Linked DNA regions of Rattus norvegicus. The protein of the gene in region 3 interacts with the protein of the main gene of each other region in a pairwise test. Links are inferred from orthologs where the notes say so. Each region holds a gene or a part of one and is shown on either strand. Other genes may lie near its edges.

Region 1 (5,678 bases), on a different chromosome or scaffold from region 3:
ATTCTGACATTGCCATGTTTCTGTTGAGAATCACTAGAAAATAACTTCGTGTGCTCCTTTGCAGAACAAGTGTGCTGGTCTGTGCTCCAGCACAGCAGGTTATGCCTCCTCTGTTGGGGACAAATCGTCAGGCATGTCACTCACTGAGGACATCAGTCAAGGGGTGACTTGTAAGGTTTGCCCCCAGCTAGGAAAAAATGTTTCTAATCTAGGATTGGGCTGATTTTTTTTCTCAAAGCAAGATACGAGGTGAGCTTTGGAGTGGTTTTCCTTGTAACATTTCTTAGATTTTGTTTTGTGTGTTCCTGTTTTATTTTGGTAATTTAGAATTTGAGTATAAAAGGCATGAGTACTAGAAGTTCTCTTTGAAGAACTTCTCTTTGAAGAAGTTCTCTTTGAAGCTGAGACTGTGGCTCAGTAGTAGAGAGTTCACCCAGCATGCAGAAGGCTCTGGACCCAATCTCCGACACTACAGGGTAAGTTAGCAATGTGGGTTTTTTTTTTTAAGATTTATTTATTTTATTTTTTGGTTGTGAGCCTAGCCTTTAACGGCTGAGCCATCTCTCCAGCCCTTATTTTTTAAGATTTATTTATTTATTATATATGAGTACATTGTAGCTGTCCTCAGACACACACATCAGATCTCATTACAGATGGTTGTGAGCCACCATGTGGTTGCTGGGAATTGAACTCAGGACCTCTGGAAGAGCAGTCAGTGCTCTTAGCCGCTGAGCCACCTCTCCAGCCCGATTTATTTATTTACTATGAGTACACTGTAGCTGTCTTCAGACACTCCAGAAGAGGGCATCAGATCCCAGGACAGATGGTTGTAAGCCACCATGTGGTTGCTGGGATTTGAACTCAGAACCTCTGGAAGAGCAGTCAGTGCTCTTAAACTCTGAGCTGTCTCTCCAACCCTGAAATTCATTTATAATCTCCAGTTTATATTGATGGAGTGGACCAGCAGGCAACTTAAAGATAAAGGAAGGTGGTGTGAGCTGTAGATTTGCCATTCAACCCAGAAGCCTAAGGCACCTACCCCTAGTTTGAGTCTGTTTTTGCAAAGGCCCACATTCCATGAGGCAGAGTCCCTGGAAGGCAAGAGGCACGGCGGGCAGCGGTGCCAGGCCTCAGCTGGCTGTGGACTGTAAGGCAGGTGAATGGAAAACACACCGCCAGTCAGCAGCCTCCAATTTTCTAATCCCTCCAAGCAGTTGCCCTACTGTGTATGCTGGGGAGGGAGCCGCATTATGCAGCTCTACCTAAAGAAAGTTTTCACTACTTATCAGCTGTGAGGTTGTAACCCTTCAGAGTCACTACCCCCCTACCCATTCTTGGAGGTATGCGTTTCAATAGGAGTTAGTGGGACCTTTACCCTTGTTTTTGTACTTCTCTGCATGACAGAACTGCCTAAATGTGTAACGTGTGTGTGTGTGTGTGTGTGTGTGTGTGTGTGTGTGTGTGTGCGTGCGCGCGCGCGCGCGCGCGCGCGCGCAGAAACAAGGCTGCTTCCTTGCCTCTTACACATAATGGATACCTGGCAGAACCGTGGGTGGCAAGCTGTAAACCAGATATTCATACACGCAGTAAGTCTGGGACCTACAAAACCAAGATTCTCGAAAATACACTCTTTATTCCCCGAGTGGATCTCAGAAGCAGCATTTCTAGGTCCGAAAGGGAACCTTGGCTGCCTGCCCACAGCGGTTCAAGGACTCCAGATTGGTGCGGAGCCTGGGCCTAAAGGTGGAAGGCCCTTGCAGCTTGTATACTGAAGTCAGAACTGTGCCAAGGTCACCTAGGTCGCAAGGGTCCGCTAGGCGATACCTGCTTTAATTACAAGCCCTACTTTAATTGGGATCCAAGGCGCCGGATTTAGAGCGCAAAGGCGGAAGTGAGGAGCAGCCATTGAGCAGCGCTTCACTGGGTGTCCACAGACTTTCACCAATAGGGTCTGACTAGTGCCGGTTGTAGTCCAATGAAAATGCTAAAGGGGAGGGGTTTAGTGGGTATTCTCCAGTCAACTGGGCTGTTTGCTTCTGCTATAGGTAGGTAGTCCTGCCCTTAGGTCCGAGCGCGCTTGCCCAATTGGCGGCTACCAAGGGGGGCGTGGCACGGCGCGGTACTGAGGCAGGTAGCTGAGAGTCAGTCCGACGCGCGATCGCCGTGCAGTCCTGTCGCGGCCGCACGGCCGCAGCATGGCCGGCCTGGGGCGGCTCGATCCGGGGCCGCGAACCGTGATGCCCGCCTGGAAACGGGAGATACTTGAGCGGAGGCGAGCTAAACTGGCCGCTCTGAGCGGAGGCCCGGGATCTGGAGCGGCACCGGATGGGCCTAACGAGCGGCTGGTGCTGGCGGAGAGTCTGGGTCCACTAAGCCAGAACCCGTTCATGCGACTTGAATCGGAGAGGCGGCGCGGGGCGCGGCCCGCTCAGCAGCTGCTGGAGCTGTACTGTCGTGTGCCCGGCGTGCGGACCATTCGAGCCGACAACATCCTCATCATCGAGTCAGCGCCAGGGTTCCCGCCCGCTGTGCCGCCCGCTTCGAGCATCCGCGCTGCCGAGGTAGTGGTGTACGAGGAGCCACAGCCCGGCCGGGTCAGCCGCCTGCTAGAAAAGTTCGACTCGCCTGCTGCGCCCCGCCGCCGCGGGAGCCCAGAGCGCTTCCGCCCTGCGCTCCCGCAGCTTCCCGTGGCGCCTGCATCTGCTGCCACGCGCGCTCCTACCAATCGGTCGTTGGCTCCTGCCCCACCGGTGCTCCCTAGCCAGCCCGCACCCCCTATTTCGCCTGTCCCCGTTGCCCAGCGCGCGGGTCAGCGCTCTGCCTGTTGCGAGCCCGCGCACCCCGACGGCACTGCCGGCCCCGGGGCCCGGCGCAGCGACTTCCTACAAAAGACCGGCAGCAACTCCTTCACTGTCCACCCCCGAGGCCTGCCCGGCAGTGCGGTCAATCGCTCGCTTTCTAATGGACCCATGACTCAGGAATCCCCTGCCGGCCCTGCCAATGGGTTGTCGGGCTCTCCGCCTGTACCGGGCAAGTGGAAGCCAAAGGTGGAGTCAAAGGAACCCTCCCTCCACCCACCCCCAAGCCCTGGGACCCCAAGTGCCACTCCAGTTGGGCCCCCTGCCTTCCTGGCGCCCAGCCCAGCCAGTGCCACTCCCAGTCAGCGCCAGTGGGTCTCCTCTGCCACCAGCGCCAATGACTCCTTCGAAATAAGGCCATCCTCCAAGCCAGACATGGAAACTATCCCAATTGGGGACCTTCAGGCCAGAGCCCTGGCCAACCTCAGAGTGAACTCCCGCAACTCCTTCGTGTTGATCCCCAAGCGCAAAGCCCCTGGGAACTATCCTTCGGCGGCGGGGAGGCAATTCGAGGAGCCAAAGGGGGAGGTGGGCTGGGCCTCTCAGAGCCAGGGGCTCGGATCCCAGCTGGTGTCTACAGTGGATGGTGCACCTGCCCTAGAGAAGAGTTCCTTGGCTGCTGAGATGCAGTGGGCAGTTAGGGAGGGAGGCTGCCCCAGGCCAGCCATTTCTGACACAGACAAGTCTGTTAGGAGGCAGAGGCCAGCCTCACCACCTCCATTTCTACCAGCCACTACTGAAGCTGAGCCGGCTGAAGGCTTGGGGGTTCCTGGCTTGACCAAGAATGGCCAGGAGCCTGTGAGGCCAGGACTTCCAGTCACCTTCATTGATGAAGTAGACTCAGAGGAGGCGGCCTTTCAAGAAGCCAAACTGCCCTCTTCAGCAGTTGGTGTGCCTTCCCAGTACCACCTGCACCCTTCCACACCTGGGCACACCTCAGAGCTCCTCAACCGAGGTAGCAACACTTTCACAGTAGTGCCCAAGAGGAAGCCAGGGACCCTTCAGGAGCCACACTTAAGTCAGACTAATGGGCAGTTCCAGCAAGGGGCAGAGGAACAGGATGCTGATAGCCTCTCGGGACCCCACACTACCCTGGAGAATGCCCTAAAGAAACGATACCCCACTGTGAATGAGATTGAGGTGATCGGTGGTTACCTGGCCCTGCAGAAGTCCTGCCTCATCAAGGCTGGCTCCTCCAGAAAAAAGGTAAGTGGTAAGGAGAGGGCTGCTGGCACAGATGCCTTCTCCATAAATCACAGGAGAATGGGGCTGTGTGCTTGGGCCCAGTCCAGGGCCTCTGTGAACTTTGACAGCCCCAGGCTGTAGTTAGCCTACTGTTTACTTCAGAGATTTGGGAGAAGTAGCCAGGGAGTGCAGGGTTCCAGCATCCTTTTGGAAAAGGGTAGTTTTGCCGTCTACCTTCAGGAATAGCCTAGCCCGTTGACTCTGGCCTGGCCTTTGATTTGGAGGTAGCTGGCATATTCCTGTGGAGTTTAGTTTGGACAGATCTCCAGAGCCTGGCTGTACATAGTAAGGATAAGGCCAATCAGTTTTTTTGCAGGTCCTCCTCACTTTGAGGTCAGTCTGGGCACACAGCCCATAAGCCAGTTGGAGGGAGTTCTCAGCACCCTGGAAGGTCCAGGAGCCAGAGCTTGGCAGGCCTTTTCCTTCTGCAAGCATGGATTGAGAACCCAGGCTTCATGCCAGACATGGTCAACAGGGCCTTGGGCAGAGAAACTCAAGAATAATCCCCTAGAGGCTCAAATGACCAGGGTGAGCTATATTTCCTGGCCAGCTCTGGCCAGTGGCTTGGAGCCCTCTGGGCACAAGGAAATCATTCCTCCGATTCTTCCTGATTGTTCCAGGGTCTGTGTTTGTCCCCTGGGGCAAATTCCAAGACCTACCCCACATGACTGTTAGTCAGCAGGCACAGGGAAGTGCACCTTTCCCTTCTGCTGAGATGGCACCTGCAGTGTCTACATTTACATTCACCCTGGTTAATGCTGTTTTTTGGGGAGACCTTTTTGTCCTAAGCCATGTCACCTCCTCACTCTTTTTCCCTTACATTTTGTTTCTTGCCACAGTTGGCCTTGCCATCATCTCTCCTGCCAATTCCACCTGCCATGTCAGGCATCCGGGGGGATTTTGGTGGGGATTCTGGTGGAGACTCAGGGCTGTAACATTTTTTTTTTCCACATAAGACCATGTCTCTCCCACTCTCACCTGTGCTCTTTACCCCAAGTCCTTGGAGCAGATTGATCCAGGCCCTTCCCTATCTTTCGCTGCTTCCTGATCCTGATGTCTGTGAGGTGGCCGTCCCCAAGCTTGTTGAACAAGTGAAGTGGTGAAAGCCTATACAGCTGAGGAAGCTGAGGCTGGGGAGCTTCACGAGGCCATGGAGCGCGTAGCACAGGAGCTGAGTCCATGTTCCAATTTCCAAAGCCTTGCTCCTATCCTGGGACACTTGGCTTCTTGAAACTGAAAAGCTTCTCCTAAGGGCCTGGCTCTCCTGTCCCTGTCTAGGACAGCTGCGAGAATCACCCTTGGCTGGGTTAAAGTGAGAAGGGCAGGGCTGCCAGGTACAGTTGTTCATGCAGATCTCAAACACTAAAGCAGGACAAGGCCTAAAGGCTAGCAGGGCTGGGGTAGGACCCTGGCCAGCATCCTGGCTGTCTGGGCCAGACGGAGGGAGTTGGGGGTCCAAATGGTTGATGCTTCCTGTGACCAAGTGGCCTGGGCAGGGCTTTCTGTAGCAGCACAACCTGCTGGTTGTGCCATCCTGCCTATGTATGCACCAGCTGCCCTGCCCAGCAAGACACA
Region 2 (5,653 bases), on a different chromosome or scaffold from region 3:
GTATACCACAAGAAAAGGTGAGGCCTTTCCTGGACATCTAAGGCCAGGAGGAAGGACTGGTCTAGTGCTCAAGAAGAGGAGCGGCAGAACCGAAGGCCAAGAGCAATCGGGCAGTGCAGGCTGAACAGAGCCTTTATTCTGTGGGCAGTGGTAAACAATAGAGGATTGTAGAGAACAACAAGAGCAGAACATTAGTTACTGTTTGTGTTCCTACCCTATCTGCCTAGGAATACAGCTCCTCACCCAGGGACTAAAAGAGGAATGATTGTCTCAGCTTCACCCCAAAAGGAACTGAGGCTGGCAGTAATTCATTTGCATACTTGGATTTCCTTGCTACTATGTAAATGAACTCATTACTGATACGATTTTTTTCTAAAGCTTTTAGGATGAAGAAACCAGTTACTTCCAGACATAAGTAATAAGATATTGTGGGTGGTGTAAACAGGAGAAACTCTTGGTTTCAGGAAAGAGGATCAGCTGCCCCTCCCCCCAGTGCCCCAACAAGCTTCCTTCTTAGTTTTAACTACTACCCTCTGGGATAGCCACTTGGTCTTTGCACTGTGAGTTAAAATGAGAATAAGAAAGTGAACTAAAGACCCGGGCGTGGTGGCTCACACCTTTAATCTCCATGCCAGAGAGGCAGATACAGGCTGATGTCTCTAAGTTTAAGGACAGCCTGGTCTGTAAGGCCAGTTCCAGACAGCCAGGGTTCTGCAGAGAGACCCTGCCTCAAACAAAGGTTCTGTAGAGAAACCCCCACATCAAATAAATAAATAGATAAGTAAGAAAAAATAAAAAGGAAGGAAAGGAATGGACAGAAAGAAAAGGAAAAGAAAGAGACCAAATTCACAGCCAGTACTTGGTTGGGAGGCTGAGGCAGGAAAGATTGTGGTTAGTTTGAGGCCAGCCTGGGCTACAGAGTAAAATCTGTTTCAGACAAACAAAATCCTTCCCTTAATACAGCAATTAAAATTAATCAGCCAATATTTTTTTATTTTTTTTAAAGATTTATTCATTTATTATATATAAGTACACTGTAGCTGTCTTCAGATACACCAGAAGAGAGGATCGGATCCCTTTACAGATGGCTGTGAGCCACCATGTGGTTGCTGGGAATTGAACTCATGACCTCTGGAAGAGCAGTCGGGTGCTCTTAACCACTGAGCCATCTCTCCAGCCCCAGCCAATATTTTTCAGATGACAAAAGTCACCAATGTGTTTTCCTTCACTGGGCGCTATACTCTGTGGTTCTTTTTTTTTTTGAAACTATTTATTTATTATAGATGAGTACACTGTAGCTGTCCTCAGACGTGCCAGAAAGGGTATCAAATCTCATTACAGATGGTTGTGAGCCACCATGTGGTTGCTGGGATTTGAACTCAGAACCTCTGGAAGAGCAGCCAGTGCTCTTAACCCCTGAGCCATCTCTCCAGCCCCTACTCTGTGGTTCTTGAGGAAATTGAATTGAAGTCGCTGTTTCTGAGAAGCTGAGTTAACAGTTACGAATACTCTTCCCACCTGTGACTTCAGCTTGTCAGTAACACCACGTTTTTCTTATCTGAGTGGTATGTATTTTGTCAAATGGACGCTGAAAGACGTCCAAATTAGGCCACAGGCCATGTTAGACTTAGAAATCCTAAAGCAGAGGGGACAGGAAAGCATGAGTGATTCAGTTGTCACTTGAGTTTCTCACTACTGTTATTCACTAGGGGTGATTGTGTCCTGGACAAGTTGGTTATACAGCAGTGCACACATCATTTAACTCCTGTCTCCTTAAGCCCTTAATTCGAGAAGACCGATACACGTATCAGATAATCCGGTACGTTGCCTAGTGTACCCGATCCGTAAAAAAAAGGGCTCCGGGGAATTCTCAGGTTCTCTTGAAACCCACTCACCTCCCCCAGTCCTTCCCTTTAACCCAGAGGGTGGAGCGCGGAGTCTCCTAGGAGACCAGAACGAACTGACTGCGCATGCGCATATCCTAGGTCCGGCTGATGCAACTTGCCGCGTGCGAGCCTGCTCTGCCCTGAGTAAGGAAGCCGACAGGGACTGCAGGCTCAGCCAATCAGCGGCCACGCACGAGGGTGAGGCAAGCCCGCCTCCCGGGAGCTGAGGGTGGGGTTCAGCAAAAGACGTTAGGCGGCGCTGGGCCGTAGGAGTAGACGCCCTCGGTCGTTCGTTTCGTCTTGCAGCTTCCGGGTTTGCGGCTGCGGCCATTTTGAGCTTCGCTTCCTTTCGCTCTCGCCCGCCACCCAGCCCTAACGTCTGTGTATTTCGCGCCTCCGTGTGGGCCGCGGTCTCCGGAAACGTTGCCGCCGCCGCCGTGTGAGGGGTCTTCTCTATGGTGGAGCGGTCTCACACGGACTAGGGCGCCTCCATTCTCGCCGAGATGGACGTAGTCGCGGTCGCCACCGCTTGCGCGAGCCGCCCGGCCGTACGGTACATCGCTCGCTACGGAAGCCGCCGCTCTCTGGGCCTCTGCTGGCGCGGGAATCGGAATGCAGTACCCACTCCGTGTCTGGGCAAGGCTAAGACTGTGTAGGCCTCGGATCCTGCCCGCTCTGACGCCGCTGAGCTCCGTACTCGTGCCCGAGAAGTTGCCAAGGAAAGGAGATGGAGACGGGAACACACAGGGCTCGGAAGCGGCCTACCTCTCGGATGGGCTCCTGGTTCCGGCTGCCCTTCCTTCGGCGTTCGCACGCCTGCACTTCCGAGTTCCCGAAGCCTTCTTCTCGACCAAATCTCGAGGTCTCCGCCCGGCCCGAGCCTCGGACCAGGTACTGGACCAAATTGCTTTCCCAGCTCCTTGCCCTGCTCCCTAGCTTGCTCCAGAAGCTGCTTATTTGGAGTCAGCTTTTCGGTGGCATGATTCCGACCAGATGGTTAGATTTTTCAGCAAGTTACAGCGCTCTAAGAGCTTTGAGAGGACGGGAGGAATCAGCCGCTCCCACAGTGCAGAAATCTTTGAATTCTCTGCGGCTGGACTCTTCTTCGGAAGACTTGGTTGTCAGTTCTCTTGATTGGCTAGAGGAGGGACTCCAGGGGCAGTGCTCGTCCTCAGACCTGGAATTGAAATTCAAGGCCCAGGAAAGAGCTTTAGACTCTACAGCGCACACTTTCCTCTTGGAGCAGCAGCTGTGGGGAGTGGAGTTGCTGCCCGGTAGTCTTCAAACCGGTCTAGTCTCCCACCGAGAACTTGGCTCTTCATCCTCTGGGCCTCTGAGTACTCAGAGCTTGGGCAATTTCAAGGTAGTTTCCTATCTCCTGAACCCTTCCTACCTGGACTGCCTTCCCCAGTTAGAGCTGCGCTGTCAGAACAGCGTCGGAGGTGGCCAACTTGTGGATTTCCGAACACTATCCCCAGAGAGCTGCTACCTTTCTGAAGATGCTTGTCACCCTCAGCCGCTGTGTGCTGAGATGTCGGCAACTGCCTGGCGGAGGTGTCCGCCCCTCTCTACAGAAGGCCTGCCAGAAATCCACCACCTTCGGATGAAACGACTAGAATTCCTTCAGGCAAACAAGGGGCAAGAGTTACCCACCCCTGACCAAGACAATGGCTATCATAGCCTGGAGGAGGAGCACTGCCTTCTCCGGATGGATCCGCAACATTGCACAGATAAGGCAGCACAGGCAGTCTCCCCTGCTGGAGCCAGCCCGCAGCCCACTGAGAAAAAAGTAGAATTGGTGGTTGAGGAAGTTTTACAGAGCCCCCAGGGAAGCAGTCTGTCTTGTGAGTTAAGTGTGCAAAAAGAATGTGAAGACTACTCAGACATAGGGGGTAACCTTCCAGTCTCTACCAGACCAGCTTGTACCAACAAACTGATAGATTATATTTTGGGAGGAGCCTCCAGTGACTTGGACACCAGCTCCGATTCTGAAAGTGAGGATTGGGATGAGGAACCTGAGGATGATGGTTTTGATAGTGATGGCTCCCTATCTGAATCAGACAGGGAACAAGACTCCGAAGGGCTTCACCTTTGGAACTCTTTCTACAGTGTAGATCCTTACAACCCCCAGAACTTTACAGCCACAATTCAGACTGCTGCCAGAATTGCCCCCAGAGACCCATCTGATTCAGAGAAGTCCTGGTCTGGCAACTCTGATGTAGGGAGTTCTCAGGCCACACTCCTTCCCCAGACCCCTGACCAGAGTTCCGGGGAGGAGGATGACTGGGAATCCAGTGCAGATGAAGCAGAAAATCTTAGATTGTGGAACTCTTTCTGTAATTCTGAGGACCCCTACAACCTTTTAAATTTTAAGGCTCCTTTCCAAACGTCAGGGAAGAGCTGGAAAGGCAGTCAGGCATCCTCTGAGGCCACAGTGGTCTTTTCTGGGCATCAGACCTTACTTTCTTGTGAGGCACAACTGTTAGAGAGCCAAGAAGACAATTGTCCAGGCTGTGGGCTGGGTGAGGCACTTTCTGGAGAAAGATACACCCATATCAAGAGAAAAAAGGTTTGTTTCCATTTACATGACTTATAATTTGTTGTATTTTGATATGGTTACAGTAGAAGAATAACTTTTCTTGTGGAGGCATAGTTGTGCATATTTTTGAGGAAGACCTCTGAGTTCATGTGCTTGAATTCTGAAATACTCAAGTGTGACCCTTCTTCCCAATATAGAGAAATGTTTTTGTCCAAATGGAAGATGCCAGCATTAGATGTTACTAGGGTTGTCATTTTGGTTGGTAGAACCTGAAGATTAGAGTGGTTTGCATGTATTTTATTTGGGAGCATGTAATGTTTCATTTTCTTGGCTATTGTGTCTTTATTCTTGTCCATTGGAATCCAGAAGAATAATACTATCAAGTAGCAAATTAGGCTTGTCTAGTTGTTTGCACAGAAGGAGTTATTGTGGTGTGTGCCTGTAATGCCAGCACTTTTGAAGCAAGTGGGGTTTTTGGAGTTTTGGGAGTCTAGGCTGGTCTGTCTATCTAGTGAGTTCCAGACTAGCCAAAGATGTATGAGTGGGACTTTATCTCTAAATAAATACATATATAAAACAAACACCCTGCCCTCAGCCAGTTGTGTTCCAAGCTGGCCAGAACTTCCAGCACAGCTTGTTTTTTTAGGTCGTGTTATATAACACAAGACCTCACTGTGAAGTCCAGGCTGGCCTTTGTGCCTGGTGTCTCAGTTTCCCAAGTGCAGGGATAATTGTGAGCCTATGGGCTTGCTTAAAACTTCATGGGGGCAGGTATGGTATGTTTAGAGTCACTGTTTAACTTCTCTTACTGCTTACTCAGCTGCAGCTCCAGTGCCTGGCAAATGGACGGTGTGTGAGTGAGCGAGCTCCTGGGTCTGAAGGACCCAGCTTTCCTAGAAACTTTATTGGGACATATCTAAATGGTAGTAATCTTGAATCTTCCTATAGTGGCATAATAAGTCATGCTAAAGAGTAGATTTTAGGATGAGAGAGCCTCTATGTTTGTTTATAATTATAAATGTATTCTTTATAATGAGGTTTGATCAGCTCTCATTATCCTCTTCAGGATAGACAAACTGCTATTCAGAGAACAGGCAAGAAACACAGCACTTGGCCCTGAAGACCTCTCGGCTTTGCTCTGCACTGCTCCGATTAGGGCTGAGATGGAGGTCGGTGGGGTAGGGCAACCAGACTAGACTTAAGGGGCTCTCTCACGCCCCTGATCTAC
Region 3 (5,542 bases):
ACTTGCCTCTAAGAACTCATGTAGAAGCTAAGCTAGCCTTGACCTCCTGACTCTACCTAAGTGCCTGCGACTACAGGTCTATGCCAGGTCATGACTTAGCCTTGGGTGGCCTAGCACTCATCTCTAAGTCAGACTGGCCTTTAACTCAGAGATCAAGCTGCCTCTGCTTCTCAGTGCTTCGATTAAAGGCATGTGTCACGATGCCCAGCTTAAAATGTATTCGTGTGTGTGAGTGTGAGTGTGAGTGTGAGTGTGTGTGTGTGTGTGTGTGTGTCTGACCCCAGTTCTGGAGTAACAAGCCTTGAGGCACCTGCTGAGTGCAGGAGCTGAGCTTGGATGGCCTGGGTGAGTAATGTACACTCTCATCCACTAAGCCATCCCTCTAGACCTCAGCCTTTGGTTTGGTTTGTGGGTTTTTTGTTTGTTTTGTTTTTGAGAGGGTCTTATTACATATAGTTGACTGGTGTGGAATCTGGTATATAGACCAGACTGGCCTCCTAATTCTTCCTTCTAGGATTAAAGGTGTGTGCTCAGTGCCGCCTTAACCTTTAAAAGACCCCCTTCTCAACTCCTTCATTCAGCCCTAGTTTGGACGATCTTACGGAAGGGTTCCACATATGAGCTCTTGCTACCCTGCCCTAGAACTTCTGGCTTTTCATGCCTCACACTCCAGTGTGGGGGTAAGCAAGCTGCCCTGACTGAAAGGTATCAATTACCAATATGGAGAAACACCGCTTCATCAGGTGACAAATCTTATCTCTCCCTTTCAGAATTAGGCCCGTAGTTCCTTTTATATCTTCTTATGTGTGTGTGCATGTGTGCAGCGCCACACTTGCTAGAGCAGTTGTGGATGGAGGGAAGGGAGAGGACAACCCTCCAGTTCTCTCCTGAATCTCATGTGGGTCCTGAAGATCAAATCGAGTCTTCAGAATTAAGGACAAGAGCCAAAACCCGCAGAGCCGTTTCTGAGGGCATTACAAAGAATGCAATCCCATCATCCTCTGATCAGATCCCTGTGGCCTCTGTCAAGCACTTCCATAAGTAAGAAACACACACATGCACTACACAGCTAGTTACTCTCAATGTTATTTAAATGGTGGCTTACTCTGTTAAGTTCAACAGAAAAGAATAAATCAGGCCAGACATGATAGTACAGCTTTGAATGCTAGCACTCAGGAGGCAGAGGCAGGCGGATCTCTGAAATCCAGGCCAGCCTTTGGGACACAGCAATATCCAGTCTCAAAATTTAAAAAGTAACTAAGAAACTATGGGAAGCCAGGTGTGGTGAAAGCTTTTAATTCCAACACTGTGGACAGCTGAGACAGAGACCAGCCAGAAAACGGGGAGATGGGGGTAGATGGTTGGGGGACTGAAGTGATGACGGTTCTTGGAGACAATCTGGGCTCCACTTCTAGTACCCACACGTGATAGTTCAGGTCTACCTGTAACTTCAGTACCCAAGGACCCAATGCCCTTTTCTTCAGCATATGATGCACATACATACATGCAGGCAAATTCTTGCAAATAGAAAATGTTTTTTTTAAAGAGGGAGAAAGGGAAGCTGATGAGATGGTTTAGTCAGTGGAAAGTCTGCCTTGCAAGCCTGACCGGCGTTTGATTCCCAGAATCCAAACAACAGGAGAGAACCTACTACACCCAACTGTCCTCTCAACCTCCTCATGTGTGCTGTGGTCTGCCTGCATCCACACACATGTGTGCTGTGGTCTGCCTGCATCCCACACATTCCACAGGAAAAAACAAGTAAGTCAGGCTTAGTGGTCTATACAATTCTAGTACTTGGGAGGAGGCAGAAGGATCAGTGTTTAACGCCAGTTCTGACTCCTGAGACCCTGTATCTAGGAGGCATGGTGATACAGAAGATGCCATCAATGAGGAGGGGGAGGAAGAAAGATCTGTGAGAGTTTGAGGCTAGCCTGGTCCACACATGGAGCTCCAGGATAACCAGGACTGGAGAGACCATGTCTCTATAAAACCAAAGCCAAGAAACCCTATCTAAACAAAACAGAACACAGCATTAGAGAGGGGGAAATGACCATTTAAAAAAAAAACAAAAAACACACTTTTTGACTTTTCTTTCAGCGACTTGAAAACATCTACCACCAGAATTAAGCAGCTGTCCACCACTCCACCAATATTTTAGGCAAAAGCAGTGAAAGCAAGAAGGTTACTGGATTCCCCTTCTCCTTAGCTTTAGCAGATACGCTGTGGGATTTGTGAGGAGCAGGTTTTCAGACCTATGTAAAATCTGAATATCGAAAGTAGGAATCCACTGCAGAGCCGTCCCCCCCGCCCCAGGTTGGACAAAAGGAAAGCTGTATTTTTAACCTTTACTCAACCACTGGAAATTCTGTGTTCCCACAGGGTGAACGGTGGAAAGGTGGCAGGTTCTACCTCGGTCCTGGCAACCCGGGGTTTTAAACCTGATTGTTAACTGCATCCTTGGTCCAGCGAGGTCTTTTTGAAGTTTCTCTTGCGAAACACACTTCCAGGATAACAGCACCTACCTGGCAGGTGCTCGCTGAACGCAGCAGCGTCCCCCTGTCCTCAGGACAACAATCTGATGAGCAGAGAGCCACAGTCACCCGGGCTGGGTCCGTGTGCGGATGCACGTTCAAGGGGAAAGAGCACTGGAGGGAGGAGGATGGCTTTGGGGTGTGGGGGGGTTGGGGGAGGAAAATGAAGGAGACGGGCTCTCATCGCACTGGGACGTCGCCCTGCCAAGTCACACTGATGGGTCCTTGGACTCCGGATAATGAGAATGTGAAAGCAAGGGCAGGGGGGTGACAAAAAGGCAGGGTCCCCAGACCGGGAGGCGCTGTGTGCGCGCCCCAGATCCAAGCGGCTCCCGAGAAAGACCGGCCTCTACTGGGCCTGGTCCCCACCGGCCCAACCCGCCGCCCGCCCGCCCGCCCGCGCGCCGCTCACCTTCCAGCAGCCGTTGGATGATACTGTCGATGTTGAGTTTATCGATATCCGCCATCGCCGTCCCGCCGCCGACCCTCCCGCAGCGGCGCCGCCGCCGGCTCGCGCCCGGGTCTCACTCGTCCTCCTTCTTCACGCCACGAGCCCCACGAGCGGTGGTGGCGGCGGCGGTGGCAGCAGCAGCCGCGGCGGGTCCCCCCCCCAGCCGCCCCGCTCCCGGCTTCCTCCTCCTCTCGCCACTGGAACCACGAGAAGAACAAAATGGCCGCCGACTCCTCAGGCCAGCCTCGGGCGGCGCACGGATGCGCGCGCGGGAGTGCAGCGGCCGGGCCGGGACTTCTTTACAGGCCCATAGGGCGCGCGGGAGGGGGCGGGGCCATCTGCAGGAGGGGGCGGGGTTTGGCCCACGGGGGGCGGAGCCCGGGCAGAGACGGTTGAGCGACGCTGCAACAGCGCGCGGGATCCTTCCGCCAAACGGGCGGGGGAAATAGACCCCCCCGTGGCGGGAGAGTGAAGTTGCAAAGTTGGCGCGCGCGAGTTGGAGATGGGCATTGACCGGCGGCTATGCGCTGCAAGGGTCACCCTCTCCTCCCGACTCTGCTGCTTTGAGACAGAAGTCGGTCGACCTGGCCGGGTGGGAACCCATTAGGGAGTCACCCCTCGGAACCAATCTGGGGTGGGGTTGCCCGTGGAGTACCCTAAAGAGGAGGAGGTTGGAGCGTTGGGGATTCAAATATTCCGGCTCATTGGTGAATAGGAAGAGCTAAATACACGGCTCCATGGTAAGAACTCTTGTCTAGTATGTGTGAGATCTTTGGTTCAAGCCCCAGCACTGGCAAGATTTAGTAATTCTGCAATAAAGCACCTAAGATCCAATATTTGGGGGAAAAAAGAAGACCCCAAGATAAGCCCAAAATGTTAATCCATCGTGAGTAGCACATTATTTCGGTAATGTGTGTGCTTCTTGTGTGCATTTCTGCAATTTTACATTTTTAGAGAGAGGTTGGGAGAATTCTGTAAGGGATGCTATCTATCTTTCAAATTGTCTTCCTTGAACTCAGAAAGTTAAATAATAACGGAGAGATTCCCCTGCATTTAGCCCGAGCTGGGTTGAATGAGCGCGCCGGAGCAGAGAAAATGGGAATTTGCACATTTCGCGCTAGGAACGCGGATGTTAGAGGCTGCTGTGCGCTCCAGGTTTCAGCACATTCAGCGGCTGCTTGCCTCTAGCTTCCTCGACTCCCCAGGGGCACCCCTTCACCCAGGGGTCCCCAACTCTGCTGCCACTCAGGCTAGCTGCATATTGGAAGAAATGCACACCCATCTGACCCATTTATCTCTCCCAGTAGCACTCCAGAGTTTACAAAGTACTCTCTCCCCCAGTCCCCATTCCAGTTCATCATGTTTCTCAAAGCAGGAAGGATCGGAAGACTCCTTTCCATGCATGCCTTGCGAGGTGGTTTCCCCATCTAGAGATTCATTTTCTGCAAGCTCTGTCTTCCCACGGCGCCGCATTGTGGTGTGGGATGCACCCATCCAGATCTATCCAGATCTGTGCCCCTCTTCTCCTGCCGGCCCGCGGGCAGTGGAACTTCAGGACTCGCCTCAGCTCCCCTCAGCCCTCTGCTCCACTTTGCCCACTCACCAACTCACTGTCCTAAGCTGTGGTTTTGCCCACCGTTACACAAATGGTCATTCATAACACCAAGGGGACCAGCTCACCGGGCATCTTGACATCCTGGAGTCGATGTCAGGCCTTGCTGTGACTATCTGTGGAGGTCAAAGTGGTCCTCACGGAGTTGTTTGGGATCGTGGACTCCTCCAGGGCAGGGTATCTTCCCCGGGACACCGTAGGGGCAGGGATATGTAAGCCAGATTCACTCGGGAGACATTTAGAGTGTCTATTCTGGGTGGAGCAGGTTGAGTAAGACAGGGAAAGCCTTTCTTTCCCTGGGGAGATTCATTTAGTGGGATGGAGAGACAAACACACACCACCCTTCCTAGTATGAACCAGAAACTGTCTCAATGTGGAAGCTATCTGAACAGCTTTTCAGGTAAAGGTGATAACCACCAAGTCTGCCAACCAGTTTGAGGTCCATCCCTGACACAGGTTGTCCTCTGACCTCTGAGCAGACATACATACAAAATAAAATGTAATGAAACATTTGACAAAAAAAAAAAAAAAAAAAAAAAAAAGCAACCTCAAAGCTGAGCTGAGTTAGATATGGCTTTAATTCCAGCACCAGGGAGGCAGAGGTAGGCAGATCTTTGTGAGTTTGAGTCCAGTTCCCGGCTGGTCAAGACTGAGAGCAAAACCTTGTCTGAAACAAAACAAAATCAGCTCATGGCGTCCTTGGTACAAGCCTAGAGATGATATATTCCCAACATTCCCATTTTACAGATAAAGTTAGGCATAGAGAGGCTGGGTTGTTTGCTGAAAGTCACACAGCGAAGTTCCAAGGGGCAGGACTAGAACTGGGGCAGCCTGAAACCACAGTCTTTTGTTTAATAAATCCTTCTATGCAGCCTTAGGAGCCCAGCAGACCTTGGCCCATACCGTGCGTGTTACTCCTGGGGAAGCCAATGGAACGATCTAAAT
Region 4 (5,715 bases), on a different chromosome or scaffold from region 3:
GCAAGCCGAATATACAAGGATGGAATAAAAGTAAAGACCAATGTAAAACTGAAAGGAAATTAACAAGTATATCCTAGGCATATGGAATATTAGTTAAAGATGAAATGAAAAATATGTACTCATTACAATAAAAATTTTCCCATCAAATTTTAAAAAATAAATCCAAAAGTAAAACTTGTCGAGAGAAAGGAGAGAAGACAAGCTTTAAGTCACACGGATCTATACAAGATCTGGTTTTTATTTTTCTTTTCTTCAAAAGGAAAAATGGAAATGAACGTTTCTCTTTACTGTCTATAATCACTTGCACCTCACAGAAACTTTCTACTTCCCTGGGAGGGCTACTCATACTACAAGAAAACAGAAGAAGCTCAGAACCTAAGTATCTCATTGCTCTTCACGTCTGACTCCATACGCTGCACCACAGCATGCCATGCAATTAATAATCATAAAACACTTACATGCCACCCCTAGAAACAAAAGAACTTAAGCTAAAGTCTATGCAATTATCTTTTAATCAAGCTTTGTACCTTGCAACCACCAGTCTGTGACCAGCACATAAGAGGAGCCAAATAAACTTCAGTGAATGGAATAAAAGTGGCAGCTTAGCAACAGAGGAAGGAATGAGTTCATCCCTACTCATTCACTTGTTCTCTATTCACTAAGGAGTTAATATAAAACTAGTACTTCCTAGGAAACACATGCTACTGTCTCTTTAAAGAAAACATTGAATCAGGAATTGGAAAAGAAAGGAACACTGCATATGATTTTTTTCCTCAATTCTTAGAATTAAACCGGGGGACGTGCACATTCTAAGCAAATCCTCTTCCAGAGTGACCTCCCATCCCTTACAGATGCTCGTGAACGGCAAGATCCTGGGTGAGACACAGAAGCCCTAAGCAGAGACCTAGCTCATTTTACTCAGTTACAACACTTTTCTGACCCTGCCTTGTAACAGTTAATTAAACTTGTCCTGTTTCCACAATTAGCTAATTGCTAGCGGAAGCCTTGGTCATTTTTGTATTTCCCAGAACACCTAAGACAGAATCTGATATTAGTATTACCTAAAATTATATTTAAAAAATTTAGGGGTTGGGGATTTAGCTCAGTGGTAGAGCACTTGCCTAGCAAGCACAAGGCCCTGGGTTCAGGCCCCAGCTCCGGAAAAAAAAAAAATTTATACAATACTTTTTTGTATGCTGTTTTCTAAAAGCCTTCCAAATTAAGTATAATACCTAACTGCATTTTATAGACAATATTGACGTTTATCCACTGCCAAGATGAATAACCAGGTAGTTTTCCTTAATGTTCCCACTGCAGGCTCACCAGGTTTGTTTACTAAAACAACTGTTTTTCTATCTGCATTACAAAACCATTATCTGTTGCTATGAAAACCATCTGTAAGCCACTTAAGAGTGAAAGCTGTGCTAGAGAGAGGACACTTTTGATCACCCAAGCAAATCTCTTTTAACTTTTATCAATGATGTTCAAATTAAGAAGTACTAGAAACCAGGAAGGTTGATAAAAATCAAGATCTTTGAATTCTGAATTCAAATTGATCTACAATTCTGATTTAGGGGACCAGGGATCAAATATTTTAATCAGCACCCCAACTGATTCTAATATTGGTCTTTAGAGACACTAAGAATTTGATTTTTAAAACCTAAGTTAATGAACATACTTAATCAAACCAATGTTCTACAGTTAAAAACACACAAAATCTGACAAAGGCAAGGCTACACACACACAATGGGTGCTCAAAATTCTTCAACATGATGAACCTCCTTAGTCCTCAGGAGATTCCCACGCTCTGTAGGAAGGTTAAGTCAGGAGTCTTACAGGTAACTATGCATATTAGCTGATGGCTCTAACTCCGGTAATTAGTAACATATTTTATAAATTTTAAACAAATGCCTGACTGTAAAGTGGACCAGTCAGGTATTCTTAATTAATACCAAATAATAACAACAACAGCAATAATAATAATAATAATAAATTTTAAGTCACTATGAGTACTCTCACTGTAAACTTTGAATGACCATCAAAACATACTATGACATTACCAGTAATCTCTCTCCAGTTATTAAGTACATATTGAAAGCCAATATAGTACCTCTCTGCGTATCCAAATTTTCTAGTATATATACATATTTTCATGCCTTAAAGTTCTAGATATACATAAGTCCTTACAATAGAAAATAAAAATAACCTGTAATCATAAACAAGAAGCACGCCAATAACTGAGGTGTGATATCAAACTACAATCACTTTTTTTACATCAAAACAAATCATTTTTCTTGTACAACTGAGTTTATATCCCATTGTCGGCATGTCCTTGCTATTAGGTTAATTGGTTCGATTTAAAATTCTTCTTGCCATCCGTTCCCTATTTGAGTGGTACATTTTTGTACCAAGGACTGAGGCATTAAACAATTTCCTGTCTCTTTGAAGGTGGAAAAGACACCTTCATAAAAGATTTTTTTTTAACTGTAAGTGGTTAGCTAGGAAACTTAGCATGGCAAAAATGGGATGGGGCTTTCTCCAAGGCAGACCTCGCTCAGATGTAACATAGGGAGGAAAGGATGAGCTAGCGGCAGGTGATGAAATTTCACCTCAAAAAAGGACGCAAAAGGCTGTGTCTCCATCAAGAGAGGCGTGAATGCTACTCCTGGAGTATCTGGGGCTCCGAGTGCCCGCACTCTCTGCACCTCAATACTCACCACTCCCCACCCAGGGGTTGGCTCCGCGGGACTCAGTAAGCCGCGCAGGCAAGCCAAAGCTGTTTGCAAACAAGCCGTCCTTTGCCTCCCTCCGGGATGTGCACTCAGGGCCCTGGGAAGGAAGGCACGCACGGCCCCGCCCGGGACAAATGCGAAGGGCACCGGTGCGGCCGCCAGCCCAGTCTTCACGTACCCGGCCGCGCCGGAACCCAGGCCCAGCTAAGGGCTTCCCGGCGGCGCGGGGCCTAGTCGCCCCCCGCACGCCTTCAGTCTCCCGGGGGACCCACGGAGAAAGGGCCGAGGCCCCAGAGCTTCGGGGTGCCCGCGGTGGCTGCGGTGGCCGCGGTGGCAGGACGCTCCGTCCGCCCGACCCGAAAGCAGGCGCCAGGACCCCTGGGCGGCGCAAGCAGGCGAGCCCCGGACCGCGGCGCGCCACACTCACCGCCTCTCCATGGCCCGGGGGTCGTCACTCAGCCGAGAGCCTCCTCCACAGCAGGGCTCCGCCGCGAAGCCTCGCACTCCTGAGGGGGCTGCGGTTTCTGCGGCCGGGGACGAGGCCCAGCGCCGCTCCAGTCGCCTCAGCCACGCGGGGCTGGGGGAGCGCGGCCGGGGGCGCAGCTTACGGCGGGACGACCGAGGCGCTGCAGGCGGACGGGCTCGGCGAAGCCTCGGGCGCCGCGGTGGCCGCTTCAGCCGCCCGCGCCGCTGGGCCACAGCGCCCCCTGGACCCCACGTCCCGCTACGGCGCCGGGACTGCGGCGGCCGCACCGGGCACGAGCGGCAGGGAACGCGAGGCAACGCGGCCTGGGGGTGGCGGGGCCCGGTGCGCCTTGCGCCGCCCGCCCGCCTGCGGCCGGTGGCCCGCCCCTGACGCGGCTTCCCGGGAGCCGGAAGCTGTCGGCTCCCCCCACCCCACCCCCGTCAGACCCCAGCACCTTTTTCTTCCCTCCCGAAGGTATGTGAATGCAGAGCGGGAATGTGAGGGAATCTCGGTTCATTTCTCGCGCAGACAGGGGGTCCCTTTTAATCCCCTCAGTGCGTCAGTATGAAAGGAGAGTGACCCAGAACAAATCTCTTTTTTCTTTTTCTAAGCACATGCACAATTCCTTCCCAAAACAGATAAAGAAATAATCTTTGACCTCAACTTTTTTGGAGCTACTGTGCAGATTCACTACAGAAATTGGCTACAGAACCCCTTAACGCCTAACCTTCCCCACAAAATGGGGGGGGGGGGGAGGGGGGAAACAAAAAAAATAAACGCTGACCAAAAGAAGAGAATAACCAACGGGTTGTCCTGAAATTGATAAACAACTTAAAGGTAAGAAAAGAATCATCCTTTTACTAACTTAACCCTGGCCACCACCTCTATTATTTCTGTGCCACCCACCCCTTACCAAATCCTAGGTAAGACTCTGAAAGAAGGAAATTGTGGTTGTATTAAAGGCTATGTAGTCATTTTGTTTACAAATGCCGCCCGTTTGATCTTGCCCAGCCTCTGGGTTGCTAACAGAATGCCACAACCAAAAACAAAAGACTATCAGAAGGCAAATAGGAAAAAAGAAAAAAAAAATTAAATCCCCTGGTCCCTCAAATTCCCAAATGTGGTGTTTGTTTGTTTGGTTGGTTAGTTGGTTTTGTTTCTGGGTGCTATACTGGAACAAGCAAGGACTTCGGAGTCAGGCAGATCCTGATACCACTGGTTTCAGTTACATCATGTAGAGTTTTATGACCCTGGCAAGTTATGTAATATTTTTGAACCTCTGTTTTCTCCTGCCTGCCTAGCTGGTTGTGAAGGTTAGGGACAGAAGGACCGGCCTACAATTACAATTTTCGTTAATTCCAGAGCACCCTAACACTTAGTCATTCTTAATCTGGATATTGTTCCCATCTGTGTTTGTTTGTCCCACCTCACTCCTCCACCCCTTTTGTGTGTGTGTGTGTGTGTGTGTGTGTGTGTGTGTGTGTGAGTGTGTGTGTGTGTGTGTGTGTGTGTGTGTGTGTTCCTATCAAAAGGTCATTCTCATCATTCCTGGTCTAAGTGAAATTTCCCTGAATTTCACTAGTGCATTTATGTAACATTCTCCTCTGAAGAAGAGAACCTAATATACTGGATCCTCTGACATTCTACCGTACAGCAGATATCAAAATAGAACCAGTACATTTTTTTCTGCATAAAAAATATTATAAGCAATCTTGGCTTTACCTTAGGTTATGGCCTAATAGTAAGTAACAAGACATGAGAAAATTACATAAGAACTTCGGGAACCGTTAAAGTAATAATTGAGCAGCCACTCAGAGAAAATATAACCTAGCAGTTCTTTTTCTCATCAATGAAAGCTGTTCCTGTACAGTCCCAAGTCTGCCTTTGCCACATAATTCTGAGTCACATTAAAAAAAAAAAATCACTATCCCCTTTTTGTAACGACAGAAACCAGCTCAGAAGGTGATTCATCCTCACAACATCTCTATGAATTCAGTACCTTGGTACCACCGAAGGACATCCAACATAAAGAAAAGCTGCAAGTATACCCCATAACCATAGGGGTCTCCCATCTGATAGCAATCTTTTCTGAAGTATTAAAACATTGTTAGAGTGAGTTACTATGGATATCATTTGCTCTTTAAGATGGGGCCCTTTAATTTAGACCAGCTTGGCACCCTGACATTGGCACTGTCCTTTCCAAGCCCAGCTCACTGCCGCTGCAGAAAACCTACATTTGTTTGTGAATAGTCATGACGTCTAAGGGTGTAGCTACAGCGTGAAGATGATTCATTTGTTCCCAGGGCCGGTTTCTTCTTGCCTCACACTTTCTTCCCTTCTATGCAAACTCTTGCTGAGGGAGGCTGCTTGATAGTAGTTTGCTTAAAATCTGTTTGTCATATGCTGGCCAGATGGCTCAGTGGCTAAAGGGCCAAGCTCGGTGATCTGAGTTTTATCTCTGGAACCCATGTGATAGAAGGAGAGAACCAACTACAGGAGGCATGCATGCGCCCAGTC

Evidence for each region. The genes of interacting proteins can lie anywhere in the genome.
Region 1: the proteins of Ppp1cc (region 3) and Tprn interact in binary tests that used the Homo sapiens proteins (3 or more experiments, as listed by UniProt). The link is inferred for Rattus norvegicus from reciprocal best matches to the Homo sapiens genes PPP1CC and TPRN.
Region 2: the proteins of Ppp1cc (region 3) and Ppp1r15b interact in binary tests that used the Homo sapiens proteins (3 or more experiments, as listed by UniProt). The link is inferred for Rattus norvegicus from reciprocal best matches to the Homo sapiens genes PPP1CC and PPP1R15B.
Region 4: the proteins of Ppp1cc (region 3) and Zfyve9 interact in binary tests that used the Homo sapiens proteins (3 or more experiments, as listed by UniProt). The link is inferred for Rattus norvegicus from reciprocal best matches to the Homo sapiens genes PPP1CC and ZFYVE9.

The regions. Positions count from the first base shown.
Region 1 is NC_086021.1:28,472,127-28,477,804, forward strand, and holds the start of Tprn (taperin), read left to right. Parts: upstream 1-2,195; coding exon 2,196-4,064; intron 4,065-5,678. UniProt on the Homo sapiens protein: Essential for hearing. Required for maintenance of stereocilia on both inner and outer hair cells. Necessary for the integrity of the stereociliary rootlet.
Region 2 is NC_086031.1:47,127,830-47,133,482, forward strand, and holds the start of Ppp1r15b (protein phosphatase 1 regulatory subunit 15B), read left to right. Parts: upstream 1-2,170; 5' UTR 2,171-2,613; coding exon 2,614-4,455; intron 4,456-5,653. UniProt on the Homo sapiens protein: Maintains low levels of EIF2S1 phosphorylation in unstressed cells by promoting its dephosphorylation by PP1.
Region 3 is NC_086030.1:40,058,048-40,063,589, forward strand, and holds the start of Ppp1cc (serine/threonine-protein phosphatase PP1-gamma catalytic subunit), read right to left. Parts: upstream 3,255-5,542; 5' UTR 3,002-3,254; coding exon 2,947-3,001; intron 1-2,946. UniProt on the Homo sapiens protein: Protein phosphatase that associates with over 200 regulatory proteins to form highly specific holoenzymes which dephosphorylate hundreds of biological targets.
Region 4 is NC_086023.1:128,754,912-128,760,626, forward strand, and holds the start of Zfyve9 (zinc finger FYVE domain-containing protein 9), read right to left. Parts: upstream 3,484-5,715; 5' UTR 3,160-3,483; intron 1-3,159. UniProt on the Homo sapiens protein: Early endosomal protein that functions to recruit SMAD2/SMAD3 to intracellular membranes and to the TGF-beta receptor.